Linked DNA regions of Sus scrofa. The protein of the gene in region 1 interacts with the protein of each later gene in a pairwise test. Links are inferred from orthologs where the notes say so. Each region holds a gene or a part of one and is shown in the gene's direction. Other genes may lie near its edges.

Evidence for each region. The genes of interacting proteins can lie anywhere in the genome.
Region 2: the proteins of NEDD9 (region 1) and TRIP6 interact in binary tests that used the Homo sapiens proteins (3 or more experiments, as listed by UniProt). The link is inferred for Sus scrofa from reciprocal best matches to the Homo sapiens genes NEDD9 and TRIP6.
Region 3: the proteins of NEDD9 (region 1) and NFKBIA interact in binary tests that used the Homo sapiens proteins (3 or more experiments, as listed by UniProt). The two-hybrid records come from large-scale screens. The link is inferred for Sus scrofa from reciprocal best matches to the Homo sapiens genes NEDD9 and NFKBIA.

What each region holds. Positions count from the first base shown.
Region 1 is NC_010449.5:7,806,542-7,810,553, reverse strand, and holds the end of NEDD9 (enhancer of filamentation 1), read left to right. Parts: intron 1-1,251; coding exon 1,252-1,761; 3' UTR 1,762-3,512; downstream 3,513-4,012. UniProt on the Homo sapiens protein: Scaffolding protein which plays a central coordinating role for tyrosine-kinase-based signaling related to cell adhesion. As a focal adhesion protein, plays a role in embryonic fibroblast migration.
Region 2 is NC_010445.4:8,711,979-8,716,020, forward strand, and holds the start of TRIP6 (thyroid receptor-interacting protein 6), read left to right. Parts: upstream 1-1,242; 5' UTR 1,243-1,401; coding exon 1,402-1,510; intron 1,511-1,802; coding exon 1,803-1,930; intron 1,931-2,022; coding exon 2,023-2,148; intron 2,149-2,435; coding exon 2,436-2,822; intron 2,823-3,118; coding exon 3,119-3,212; intron 3,213-3,320; coding exon 3,321-3,490; intron 3,491-3,976; coding exon 3,977-4,042. Other genes in the region: SLC12A9 (solute carrier family 12 member 9), read left to right, coding at 1-553. UniProt on the Homo sapiens protein: Relays signals from the cell surface to the nucleus to weaken adherens junction and promote actin cytoskeleton reorganization and cell invasiveness. Involved in lysophosphatidic acid-induced cell adhesion and migration.
Region 3 is NC_010449.5:64,506,685-64,510,918, forward strand, and holds NFKBIA (NF-kappa-B inhibitor alpha), read left to right. Parts: upstream 1-1,434; coding exon 1,435-1,661; intron 1,662-1,879; exon of another isoform or gene 1,880-2,229; intron 2,230-2,235; coding exon 2,236-2,344; intron 2,345-2,695; coding exon 2,696-2,906; intron 2,907-3,195; coding exon 3,196-3,284; intron 3,285-3,402; coding exon 3,403-3,663; intron 3,664-4,022; coding exon 4,023-4,070; downstream 4,071-4,234. UniProt on the Homo sapiens protein: Inhibits the activity of dimeric NF-kappa-B/REL complexes by trapping REL (RELA/p65 and NFKB1/p50) dimers in the cytoplasm by masking their nuclear localization signals.

The sequences.
Region 1 (4,012 bases):
CACAGTAATTCCTAAGAAAACAGAGTCGACAGAAAAGAAAAGCTTGCTGTGCATTTCTTGGGGGAGATGCTGTTAACGCTGCTCAGACTCAGCCCTACGTCAGCAGAAGACTGACTGAGTTCTAAACTCCGGTCACTAACTAGTCCTTACCTGTAAAAGAAGAGTCTCTCCAGAGACGTGGTGCCATAGCTGGAAATTATTATCGTTGCAATTTAAATAACACACCAGCTGGGGGCAGTGCAGAGAGAAGGACGAATGCTAATACTCAGAGAGCCTGACTCAGTGAGGTTTTTTTCCCTTTTGACAGCTCGGGGTGGAGGGTGCTAAGTGTTACGATACAGTCAGCATTCAGATTCCCTTAGAGATATTCTTTTCCATAGTGTACATATATTTATATGCATGTCTTCCCTGTACTGCTGGATAATAACATGTATAAATCTGGACAGAAAGAGTAGGAGACAGGATCGGTCCTTTGTCCAAGTGTCTTGCAGGGACAAAGTCAAGACTTTCCTCCAGAAGGAGTCACCCGTCAGCGAGTGACCTGACAAAGAGATCCCCGCATTTGCTTTCCCCTGCCCCCACTCAGTGCTTGATAAAGCTTTTCATAGAGCCTGCATCACACCCGACACTGCTCTAAGCACTTGGCAACTATTAACTCTTTTAACCATCGTAAAGGTGTAGGTAAAATAGCTGGGCTTAAACCCTGGGCTGCCTTCCAGGCTGAGGGCAGGAGAGATCAACCATCCAACCACAGACGTCAGAACCCACAGATTCCTTAGGGATCATCTTTCTCACCTCTGCCTTTTATTTACTTACTTATTTATTTTTATTATTTATTTTGAGGGCCACACCTGCAGCATATGGAGGTTCCCAGGCTACCAGTCGAATTGGAGCTAGAGCTGCCAGCCTAGGCCACAGTCACAGCCACGCCAGATCTGAGCCATGTCTGCGACCTACACCACAGCTCATGGCAACGCTGGATCTTTAACCCACTGAGCGAGGCCAGGGATCGAACCCGCCTCCTCATGGCTACCAGTGGGATTCGTGTCTGCTGCTGGCCATGGGACCTCCCTCCACGGCTACTTTTCACAGGTTAGGAATGCAGGGCAGCTAGACCCGGCTTAGCATCGAATAGGCCCCTGACTCTGCGCAGGGATGCAAATCCCTGCCTTTTAACGGGGAGCCCTGCTGCGTGTCCATGCCAGCCCCCTGCCGCAGCCTGAAGGCCGTCTGCTCTTTTCCTCCCTGCAGCTGAGTCAGTTCCAGCTGCTGGAACAAGAAATCACCAAGCCCGTGGAGAACGACATGTCCAAGTGGAAGCCCTCCCAGAGCCTCCCCACCGCCAGCAGCGGCGCGGGCGCCCAGGACAGGCAGCTGCTGTGCTTCTACTACGACCAGTGCGAGACCCACTACATCTCGCTGCTCAACGCCATCGACGCGCTCTTCAGCTGCGTCAGCTCCGCGCAGCCGCCGCGCATCTTCGTGGCGCACAGCAAGTTCGTTATCCTCAGCGCGCACAAACTGGTGTTCATCGGGGACACGCTGACGCGGCAGGTGGCCGCCCAGGACATCCGCAACAAAGTCATGAACTCCAGCAACCAGCTCTGCGAGCAGCTCAAGACGATCGTGTTGGCCACCAAGACGGCCGCGCTGCACTACCCCAGCACCCCGGCGCTGCAGGAGATGGTCCACCACGTGACCGACCTGTCCCGCCACGCGCAGCTCTTCAAGCGCTCGCTGCTGGAGATGGCCACGTTCTGAGACGGCCCGGGGGGCAGCGGGCCGCCGCGGACACCTGGACGCGGGCTCTGGTTTTGGTAAAGCGTCTCTATTTTTGTAGATATTTGATACGAAAATGAACTTTTGTTAACATTCTGTGGGTTAGCCAATATTCAGAAATTCAGGGAGCTCCCGGGGAGACTTTCTTTTCTTTGCTTATGCACACACCTGAGCATCTGAGTTGGAGAGTGTACAGAATCTCGTCTGCGTGCGTGGGTAGGACTGTGTCTTCGTGTCCGTTTGTCTCATACATTCCATTAAAAACCAGAAGTAAGACGCACCTTGGGAGGCACCTCCCAATGCTGCTTTTTTTTTTTTTTTCTTTTTCTATGAAACATACCAGCTGATTGTAATTGCTACATGTACTCGTGATTATTCTGAGCCTGTCACTCCCCGGTCTGGGACACATATCTGCAGGTGTTCACTTTCCAGTAAGGTGGCATGGGATGCCTTGTTTCTGTTTTTGAAACCCCTTCCTAATTTGGCCGTCTTGGGCACATTATGGCAAGATGCCTCATGTCTGGCTGAAAAAGCCCTCTGAGAGGGGACGTTGCAGTGAGTATATGCTAATCCAAACTCTGATGTGTTCAGTGCTGAAGGAGTGACGCATGTATTTAGAGGCCACGTCCGCAGTTAGGGCTGGGAGGTGTCAGCACGGACAGGATGCTGTCCCAGTAAAAGGAGAGCACGTGTTTCCCCGGGGCTTTTTGCTCATCGGCCTTCGGGAGTGATTGGGCCAGATTTTCCAGAAGATGTTTTTAGATTTGTAAAAATCATGATTTGCAGCAGGAATTCACAAAGACACGTCCACAAAAAGAAGGATGCTCCCATCTGCCAGTTGTCGGTGGACACCTTTCTGACTCGTGACATTCCCTTAGGTGCTACTACCCCCATCAGCCGAGGGAAGCTGGCCACCTGAACGTCAGAGCCACCAGGCCACATCCTGCTCTAAGGGAACCAGTGCTTGATCCTCTACCCTCCATAAAATGTGCATGTGCAGACTCGACACTCAGAACAGCTGTATGGAACCCATCCAGGCTTTACAGCTGTCTGGCCAATGACCCTGTCTCCAAGCTCGTCACAGCATCCATTCCGCCGTCTGTCCTTGCGTCCTTGCGTACGTGCTGGGGGTTGGCAGCGCGCAAACACCCCACAAGCCACCGGATTCATCATGGGACAAATGATATATTCGCATATCCCTAAGTCAGGAAGAGGATCATCAGTGGTTTATCAGTCCTGTTTCTATTTAATGGTCCTGGTCCAGCCAATTTGAAAATGTTTTGGTTTGCAATATATGCCTTGACTTAATTAAGCTTCCCTGTTTTAAATAGCCAAATCATTGGCACAGGAAGGGATTTAGGAGAGAGGGATGTGTGATCTAAGTGAGATTTAAAAAAAAAAAAATCGGTGATACTTATCATAGAAGGTGCTTTTCAAAACAACCACTGTTGCAGCTCTCAATCCTGCTCTGCCCAAAGAAGTCGTTATAGGACAAGTGTGTGCAGCCAGAGGAAGGGGGTTTGCTGAAAATCAAGGAAGTGGTTGAAAATGTCCTTGTAAATTTCATTGTATAATGTGTATTTCTTGGGAAATGACGGACTTATTCTAAGCTAAGTGGTGACATTTCACATTTTCAAAACCAAAATGTTCGATATGTATTACTCTCTTTCCTATATTGTATGTAGAGACTATTTTTAAATCATTAAATTTTTAGATGTCTGTTTTTATAGGCATTGGGTTTTCTTTTTCTGTGTTTCTTTCTTTGTCACTGAATTAAATGGTAGCGTATTTTGCCACTCCTAATAGAGAGAGTTGAAGTATGGCTGTTTATCAATACTATACATCTGGATTTTTGAGTAAAATTGAGAGCCATTTATTTTTTCATTTTGCACCACTTCAGTGTGTTTGCGTTAGAAGAGAATCCTGGAATTTGTGAACATTACCAAACGCAAATATCTGGAACAGAGCTCCTCTTCACCAGAATGCCTGTGCCTTTACGTGAAGGGTAGGGTGATTTCTGCCATCATCGTAGGGATGTCACTTGTCGTGTGGTTTTAGAATCAAAGGGAATTGCTCAATTCATTCTGAAATGGACATCAAGAAGTATTTACAAGAAAACCGTATATGATGAAAACAAGAGGTTCATAACAACAAATCATTTTTACTGTTTGGTCTGCTCTTTCACTCAGGGATCCTGAGACTTATAAAGTACTTGAGTAATACCTTGAATATA
Region 2 (4,042 bases), on another chromosome or scaffold:
GCGGCCCCGGGGTGGACCTGGCTACGTGGACGTCTGCGGCCTCTTCCTGCTGCAGATGGCCACCATCTTGGGCATGGTGCCTGCTTGGCACACTGCCCGCCTCCGGATCTTCTTGTGCCTGGGGCCTCGGGAGGCCCCAGGGGCAGCCGAGGGGCGGCTCCGGGCACTGCTGAGCCAGCTGAGGATCCGGGCAGAGGTGCAGGAGGTTGTGTGGGGTGAGGGGGCTGGGTCCGAGGAGCCTGAGGAGGAGGAGGAGGGGGACTTTGTGAATGGCAGGCGCGGAGACGCAGAGGCAGAGGCCCTGGCACGCAGCGCCAACGCCCTGGTTCGGGCCCAGCAGGGGCGCGGCAGAGGAGGAGGGCCTGGTGGGCCTGAGGGTGGGGATGGCGAGGAAGGGCCCACCACCGCCCTCACGTTCTTGTACCTGCCTCGGCCGCCTGCTGATCCCTCTCGCTACCCTCGCTACCTGGCGCTGCTGGAAATTCTGAGCCATGACCTGGGCCCCACGCTGCTCATTCATGGCATCACCCCTGTCACTTGCACTGATCTCTGATGCCGGTTCCTAGTAGAGAGTGTCCAGGTCGAGTGGCCCACTTTGCTTGGCGGGTTGAGGAGGGGAGGTGCTGCCTCTTGCCCTCCTTGTACTTGGGACTCGGACCCTGGTGGAGGTATTAGGGGAACCTGGTCTTTGGGAGAGGGTCCTCGCTGTGCCCAGGGCAGCTGAGCCGGCGGCCACCACTGGCGAGAAGTCAGCAGCCCTCCCCCACGCTGGCCTCCCTCCCTTCACTGGTGCCTTGACGGGGCTGGGTCTCCGCTTGTGACTCTAGGCTACCTCAGTCTCCCCGCCCCTTGCCCAGTAGACTCCTCACCCTTGAGGTTGTGATGTTTTTGTTCCGTTTTATTTTTCTAACTGCTGAATGTGAATAAAAGACCAAAACACTAGGTGCTGGCCGAGCGTTTCTGGAGGGAGCCGGTAGGGGGGACAGAATGCGGGACGAATCTGTATGCGGGGAGGGGCACTGGAGCATCCCAGCGCAAGGGGGCCACGTGCGGACTTGGGGCACAAGAGCCCCGTGTTAAAGGAGGCTGCCTGAGCCTCCCACCCCCACCCCCCGGGCCCACGCTCTGGAGGAAAGCCGCCCCGGCTCGCAGGAGGGGGCCGACTAGGGGAGGGACGGCAGTTTAGGGCCTAGGGGGCCACGTGACCCTCCCCCAGGAATGCGATGACGTCATCGGGGGCGTGGCCGTCCCCAAAATTGGGGAGGAAGGGGAAAAAAAAAAGCCAGAAAAAGTTTCTGTCCTGGAGTCCCAAGCGAGGTGTCGGGGGGAAGAAGGGGTCAAAGTCAGAGCCCTGGGCTCCGTGGGGCCCTGACCGCTGTCTGGAGTCCCCCATTCCAGACCATGTCCGGGCCCACCTGGCTCCCCCCGAAGCAGCCGGAGCCCGCCAGAGCCCCTCAGGGGAGAGCGCTCCCCCGAGGCGCCTCCGGGCCGCCGCCAGCCCACGGAGCAGGTAAGGCAGCCCCAGTGCGGTGCGGAGGCCACCGGGCCACCAACACTCAACTCTGCCCTGCTGCTCTTGCCTCCCGCTGAGCCTGCCCCTGTCGCCCCTTCCCCAAGCCCGGCTGGAACCCGCCGCGCCCCCGCCCTCGCCCTCTCCCAGCCCTCACTGCCTCCTGCCCCATTCTCGGACCCCAGATGCGGGGGGAGAGGGGTGAAGAGGGACCCAAGACCGGTGGCCTCCACAAGTGTCACCCTCCTCTCCTTCCCCATCCCCACCTTGGCTCTCTCTTCCCTCACCCCAGCACTCCAGTCCCACCCCAGGGTCAATTTTTGCCCCCTCCCATCTGAGCAGTGTTACCAGGCCCCTGGGGGACCGGAGGATCCGGGCCTGGCCTGGGTGGGGTGCCATGGAGCACCCCAACGCTCACAGGTGAGCACCGCGATTAGGGGGTGTGGGGGGGACTTAGGGCAGGAGAAGAGGCCATATGAGTTGCATTCTCCCTGCTTTTGCTCTATCTCCAGGGGCTCCCCCCGGACAGGGGGGCCTTGCGCCCAGGAAGTCTGGATGCTGAGATAGATTCCCTGACCAGCATGTTGGCTGAGTTGGACGGGGGTCGGGGTCACGCCCCACGGCGGCCTGACCGGCAGGTGACTCCCCGCTCCTGTCCCTCCCTGTCCTTGTCCCCCACCCCTCCCCCGCAACCTGGTTCCTGCTCTGTATTCTCACTCCTCTTCTCCCTCCACATGGGGGATGCACCCACCAGCGAGGAGGAAGCTGGGCCACCAAAACGTACTAGGTTGCCAGCCACTCAAGGACGGGCCCTTGTCAAAACCAGTGCTTACCTGGGTGCCACAGACACAGGGTTCAGGGGTTCCACAGATGTGTGTTCTGGATTGGGCCCAGCTCATGCCTTCTGGTCTGTGCTTCTCTCCAGGCTTATGAGCCCCATCAGCTCCCTGCCTACCGCTCAGGCCCTGGCTCCCTGAAGCCGAATGGAGGGAGTGTTCCTCCCACACCACTCCCAGCGGCCTCCTATGGCGGCCCCACGCCGGCCTCCTATGCTACGGCCAGCACCCCCGCCGGCCCTGCCTTCCCTGTGCAAGTGAAGGTGGCACAACCAGTGAGAGGCTGTGGCCCCCCCAGGCGGGGGGCCCCTCAGGCCTCGGGGCCCCTCCCCGGCCCCCACTTTCCTCTCCCAGGCCGAGGTGAAGTCTGGGGGGCTGGCTACAGGAGCCACCGTGAGCCAGGGCCAGGGGGTAAAGAGGAGGCTGCCGGAGTCTCCGGCCCTCCGGGAGGAAGAGGAGGCGGGTACGGGCCCCAGGTAAGCCCTGGGCCCTGGGATTTGGGGTCCTCAAAGACAGTTGGATGCTGACTGGGTGGGGTGGGGGTGGGGGTTGATGTTCCAGTTTTCAAGCTCTGGATTCCCTGGGGGCGGGGGGCAGGTCAGGAAATAAAGGAGGGAGGGGACTAGATCTGCACACTGGCTCCCAGAGGCACACCCCTGGCCCCTGGGCTGGGGTGTTCTCCTGTGAGCTTTTGGGTGGAATTGCCTGATCACTCTCGGTGACAGTATTGGGAGGGAGAGGTAGGATTGAACCCCTGATTCTCACCTCCCAGGTCCCCCTGAGCCAGCCTCCCGAGGAGGAACTTGAGAGGCTGACCAAGAAGCTGGTGCAGGACATGAACCACCCGCCCAGTGGGGAGTACTTCGGTGAGCTGCCCCCCGCCACACACCCCGGGCAGGGGGTGGGGGGAGGTCAGGTAGACAGTGGGTCTGGCTTCCCAGTCTATGGTTGACCCTGACCCATCCCGTCCCCAGGCCGGTGTGGTGGCTGCGGAGAAGATGTGGTTGGGGATGGGGCCGGGGTTGTGGCCCTGGACCGTGTCTTTCACGTTGGCTGCTTTGTCTGTTCTACGTGCCGGGCCCATCTCCGGGGCCAGCATTTCTATGCCGTGGAGAGGAGAGCGTATTGTGAGAGCTGCTATGTGGTGAGTGGTGGGGGCTGGCGGGGGGTGGTGGCAGATGGAGTCAGCAGCAGGAAGCAGGGGGCTTCCATCCAGAGTGGGAACTAGGTGTCCAAGCCCCAAAGAATAAGGCTCGAAGCAGGAGAACTAAAACTAATAAAGAAAAAGGCATGGATGAAATAAGTAGCTGTATACTGGTTGCTGGAGAGAAAGGACAACATTCCCCTGTAAGAGTGAGGCATTTATTTTCGGTTTAGGGGAATGTGCTGAATCCCCACAATGCCCTGGTGAGGCAGCTGTTACTCCTGAAGGAAACTGAAGGTCTGAGAGCTTAAATATCTTGTCTGGGGAAGCTGCAGTGCTAGGATTTGCACGCATACCTGTTCAAGGCCACCTTTAACTGAATCACATGCAGGGGGCTACATAAATAGGTGGGGGAGCTGGCAGGATGCCTGTAAGGGCTGCCATGGGTCACCCCAGCCCTGACCTTCCTGCTCTCCTTCCTGACAGGCCACCCTGGAGAAGTGCTCCACCTGTTCCCAGCCCATCCTGGACCGGATTCTGCGGGCCATGGGG
Region 3 (4,234 bases), about 57 Mb from region 1:
AAGATGATTGCAACAATCACGAGAAATCTCTGCAAAACTATAAAAGCTTCCTGGGGTGCCTTCTGAAAAAGTCTGATCCAAGTTGCTTTATTAGGGCCTGGACCATTTCTAGAAGTAGATGAATGCATTCCTTTCATTGGCTAGGAGGTGGGGATGGGGCAGAGAGCATACTTCTGTTTCTGCAGCTGAGACCTGGACATGGTGAACCTGGAGTAGCTACCCATATGGCATGGACAGGTCCAACTGCTGCCCCCTCCTTTGTCCCCCAAGAAGCCAGCAGGGGCAGGATGAAGGCCACCTTGGGGCTGCCCTGAGCCTCCTGCAGTATGCCTGGCAACTACTTTCTTAGCCATCTTTAAGGCCCAATCTTGGGTAAAATACTACTCAACCCATTCTTTAGCCACCTTCTCCAAATGCTTCTAGAAAGCGGCCCCCACAAGTAGGTTCTCTGCAGCAGCACAGTGCAAATGGAGGAACACGACCTCAGTAATTATTTTGTCACTGCAAAGTATCTACAACCTTTGCTATAAAAATTAACACCTTGCTTTCCCTGAAAAATAGCCCAGTCATATCCAGCATTTTCCAGCATCCAGGGCAGAGTGCTTGCTCCTCCCCCAGTCAACAGGACTGTTCATACCGAGGAAATGATTTGAGGGTTCTCTAAGCATTTACGCTGTTAATGCTAAAGCTTTCACGACTTCTACCTGAGGGGGGCTTGAGGGAGGGGGAGGTTTATGTCCCTGCACTGCCAGGAGCCTGGTCTTTGGTAGGAACGCAGAGGCAGCCGGCGACCTTCCACCCTCAGTGTGTCCTTCCCCAGGAGTTTAGGGAAGTGAATCCCTAGATCCAGCCAACATTTCCACTCCCATTTTCAAGAGATTAAAAAAAAAAAAAAAAAAAAAAAAGGAAAGCATCGGCAGGTCAGCAAACCAGCAGTTCTCCATCCTTGGGATCTTAGCAGCCGACGACCCCAAATCAAATCGATCGTGGGAAACCCCAGGGAAAATAAGGTTCCATGCAGAGGGCCAGGATTACTGACTGCAGGCTGCAGGGAAGTACCGGGGGAGGGGGCCGGGTCGGGAGGACTTTCCAGCCACTCAGCGTGCATTAAAAAGTTCCCTGTACATGACCCCAGTGGCTCATCGCAGGGAGTTTCTCTGATGAACCCGGGCGCGGGGTTTAGGCTTCTTTTTCCCCCAGCAGAGGACGAGGCCAGTTCTCTTTTCTGGTCTGACTGGCTTGGAAATTCCCCGAGCTTGACCCCGCCCAGGAGAAATCCCCTGCCAGCGTTTATAGGGCGCCGCGGCGGCGCTGCCGAGCCCACAACAGTCCGAGGCCATCGTCCCGCCCGCCCGAGCCACCGCGAGCAGCCAGCGCGCCGCGCAGCCTGTGGCCCGCGCACCTAGGGAGCAGCGCCCAAGCCCTCATCGCGCCATGTTCCAGCCCGCAGAGCCCGGCCAGGAGTGGGCCATGGAGGGGCCCCGGGACGCGCTCAAGAAGGAGCGGCTACTGGATGACCGCCACGACAGCGGCCTGGACTCCATGAAGGACGAGGAGTACGAGCAGATGGTGAAGGAGCTGCGCGAGATCCGCCTCGAGCCGCAGGAGGCGCCCCGCGGCGCCGAGCCCTGGAAGCAGCAGCTCACCGAGGACGGAGACTCGTAAGTGTCGCGGGCCCGGGTGGCGGGGCCGGGTGGGGGCGCTGGGCCTGCAGCCGGAGGTGCGGGGCCCGCGCTGCGGCCGCGAATCGGGGTTCGTGCACGGACCCCGAGGCTGTGCAAAGGTGCACGGTTGCGCGTGGGAGCCGGGGATCGGGGATTGGGGCCGTGGTCCCGCGGCTCTACCTTGCAGCCGTGCACACCTCCCACCCCTCACCCACCTTTGCGGGTCCCCTCGGCCGGGGGCGGGGCGGCCACGGGGACGCGAAGTCCCCGCTTGCATAAGGGGGGGCGGGAGTTTCTGCCCCGCTGGCGGGCGGGAGGGGAAGTACAGGGCGTTCCGGCCCGGCGGGAGGGCGGGGCGGTCTGGCCGGCGCCCGCCGCCTGGGGAGGGGGGGGGGGCGGAAAGTCCCTGGGTGCCTGCCAGGAACACTCAGCTCATAATAACCTCGCGGAAAACACCGCGGCCTCGGCCTCCAGAAACCCCGGGCTTGCGCAATCCCCTGCGGGCTGTGCCTCCCTGGGCCCCACGCAGTGCACTCACCAGCCCTGGGGGTTTTCCCTCTCTTCCCCTCAGGTTCCTGCACTTGGCCATCATCCATGAAGAGAAGGCACTGACCATGGAAGTGGTCCGCCAAGTGAAGGGAGATCTGGCTTTTCTTAACTTCCAGAACAACCTGCAGCAGGTGCGCTGCTTGCCCGCCCCGTGCCTCTTGGGTTCTGCCTCTCTGACCCCTTGATGGAGCTGGATCTAGCACAGTTATTTCCAATGATTTCCCAATTAACTGCCCCTAGTCATGATCCGCCCTGAGCTTTTACATCTGAATCAGCCAACATCCTAGAGAGGAAGGAAAAATCCCATTGATTTGGTGAGGCTTTTATGAAGCCCACCTGGGGTCTCCCGTCTGTTTCCTTAACCCCTTGTATCTGTCTGGGAGGAGCGGCACGCACAACCAGGATATCTCTAGGGTTCAAGGGGAACATGGATTGTGGGTTTGATCCATGGCTTATCCTTTCTGTCCCTCTTCTGTTGGTAGACTCCACTCCACTTGGCGGTGATCACCAACCAGCCAGAAATCGCTGAGGCACTTCTGGAAGCTGGCTGTGATCCTGAGCTCCGAGACTTTCGAGGAAATACCCCTCTACACCTTGCCTGTGAGCAGGGCTGCCTGGCCAGTGTGGGAGTCCTGACTCAGCCCCGCGGGACCCAGCACCTCCACTCCATTCTGCAGGCCACCAACTACAATGGTAAGTCTGGCTGCCCTATGCATCAGAGGGCACGTGACACAGACAAGGGAGAGGTGGGCCGACTTAAGGCAAGGTGTAAACTCTCAACACGTGAAAGGCTGAGAAAACATGTATGCATCAAGGTCTTAGTAAAACATGTATGCATTTGATGCCTTACTAAAGTCCATTCAGAACCCAGAGTCTGGGTTCTTCAAATTCAGAAGACCTCCTCCCTTAAAAGAATAGGTGAAAGTTCTGAGAAGTGAGGGTGGCAACAAGTGCTTATATTTTGTTACTTTTGGTACTCTAGGCCACACATGTCTGCACTTAGCCTCGATCCATGGCTACCTGGGCATTGTGGAGCTGTTGGTGTCTTTGGGTGCTGATGTCAACGCTCAGGTGGGTGCTTCAAGCCTACAGATGGAGGGCATTCAGCCCTCAATAAGATCACATGCTCTTGCTGCTAGCAGAAACCTCAGACTCAGCCATAAGCATCTCAAATTCCTTTTGGTTTCAGGAGCCCTGCAATGGCCGAACCGCCCTGCATCTTGCGGTGGACCTGCAGAATCCCGACCTGGTGTCGCTCTTGTTGAAGTGTGGGGCTGATGTCAACAGAGTCACCTACCAGGGCTACTCCCCGTACCAGCTCACCTGGGGCCGCCCAAGCACTCGGATACAGCAGCAGCTGGGCCAGCTGACCCTAGAAAACCTCCAGATGCTTCCAGAGAGCGAGGATGAGGAGAGCTATGACACGGAGTCAGAGTTCACAGAGGATGAGGTGAGTCCCAATGACCTTGTTCACGGGTCTGCAAAAAGCAATGCTCTCGGACCCCTAGAGCTCCTCCTTTTCCTGAGGGTCTCAACATAATGAGGATCTCAAATTAGGGAGCATAAGCAGTGTCCTAAGAGTAGGTTTAGGGGGAGGATTATGGTCTGGGGTTTTCTTTTGCTTTTTTGCTCTTTTTGAAGGAGAGGATCCTTAAAGGAAAACTTCAGCCCAGGAAGTTAATTCAGATTCGGGTTAGAGGGAACGGAGTCCAAGAATACTTGCGTTATTTCCAGTAGCAGCCCTTGCCATCACCCCAGCACCTTTGGCAAAGTTCTGGAAGTTTAACATGCCTTTCTTTCCCCTTTTAGCTGCCCTATGACGACTGCGTGCTTGGAGGCCAGCGCCTGACGTTATGAGCTTTGGAAAGTGTCTAAAAGACCATGGACTTGTACATTTGTACAAAATCAAGAGTTTTATTTTTCTAAAAAAAAAGAAAAAAAGAAAAAAAAAGAAAAAAGGGTATACTTATAACCACACCGCACACTGCCTGGCCTGAAACATTTTGCTCTGGTGGATTAGC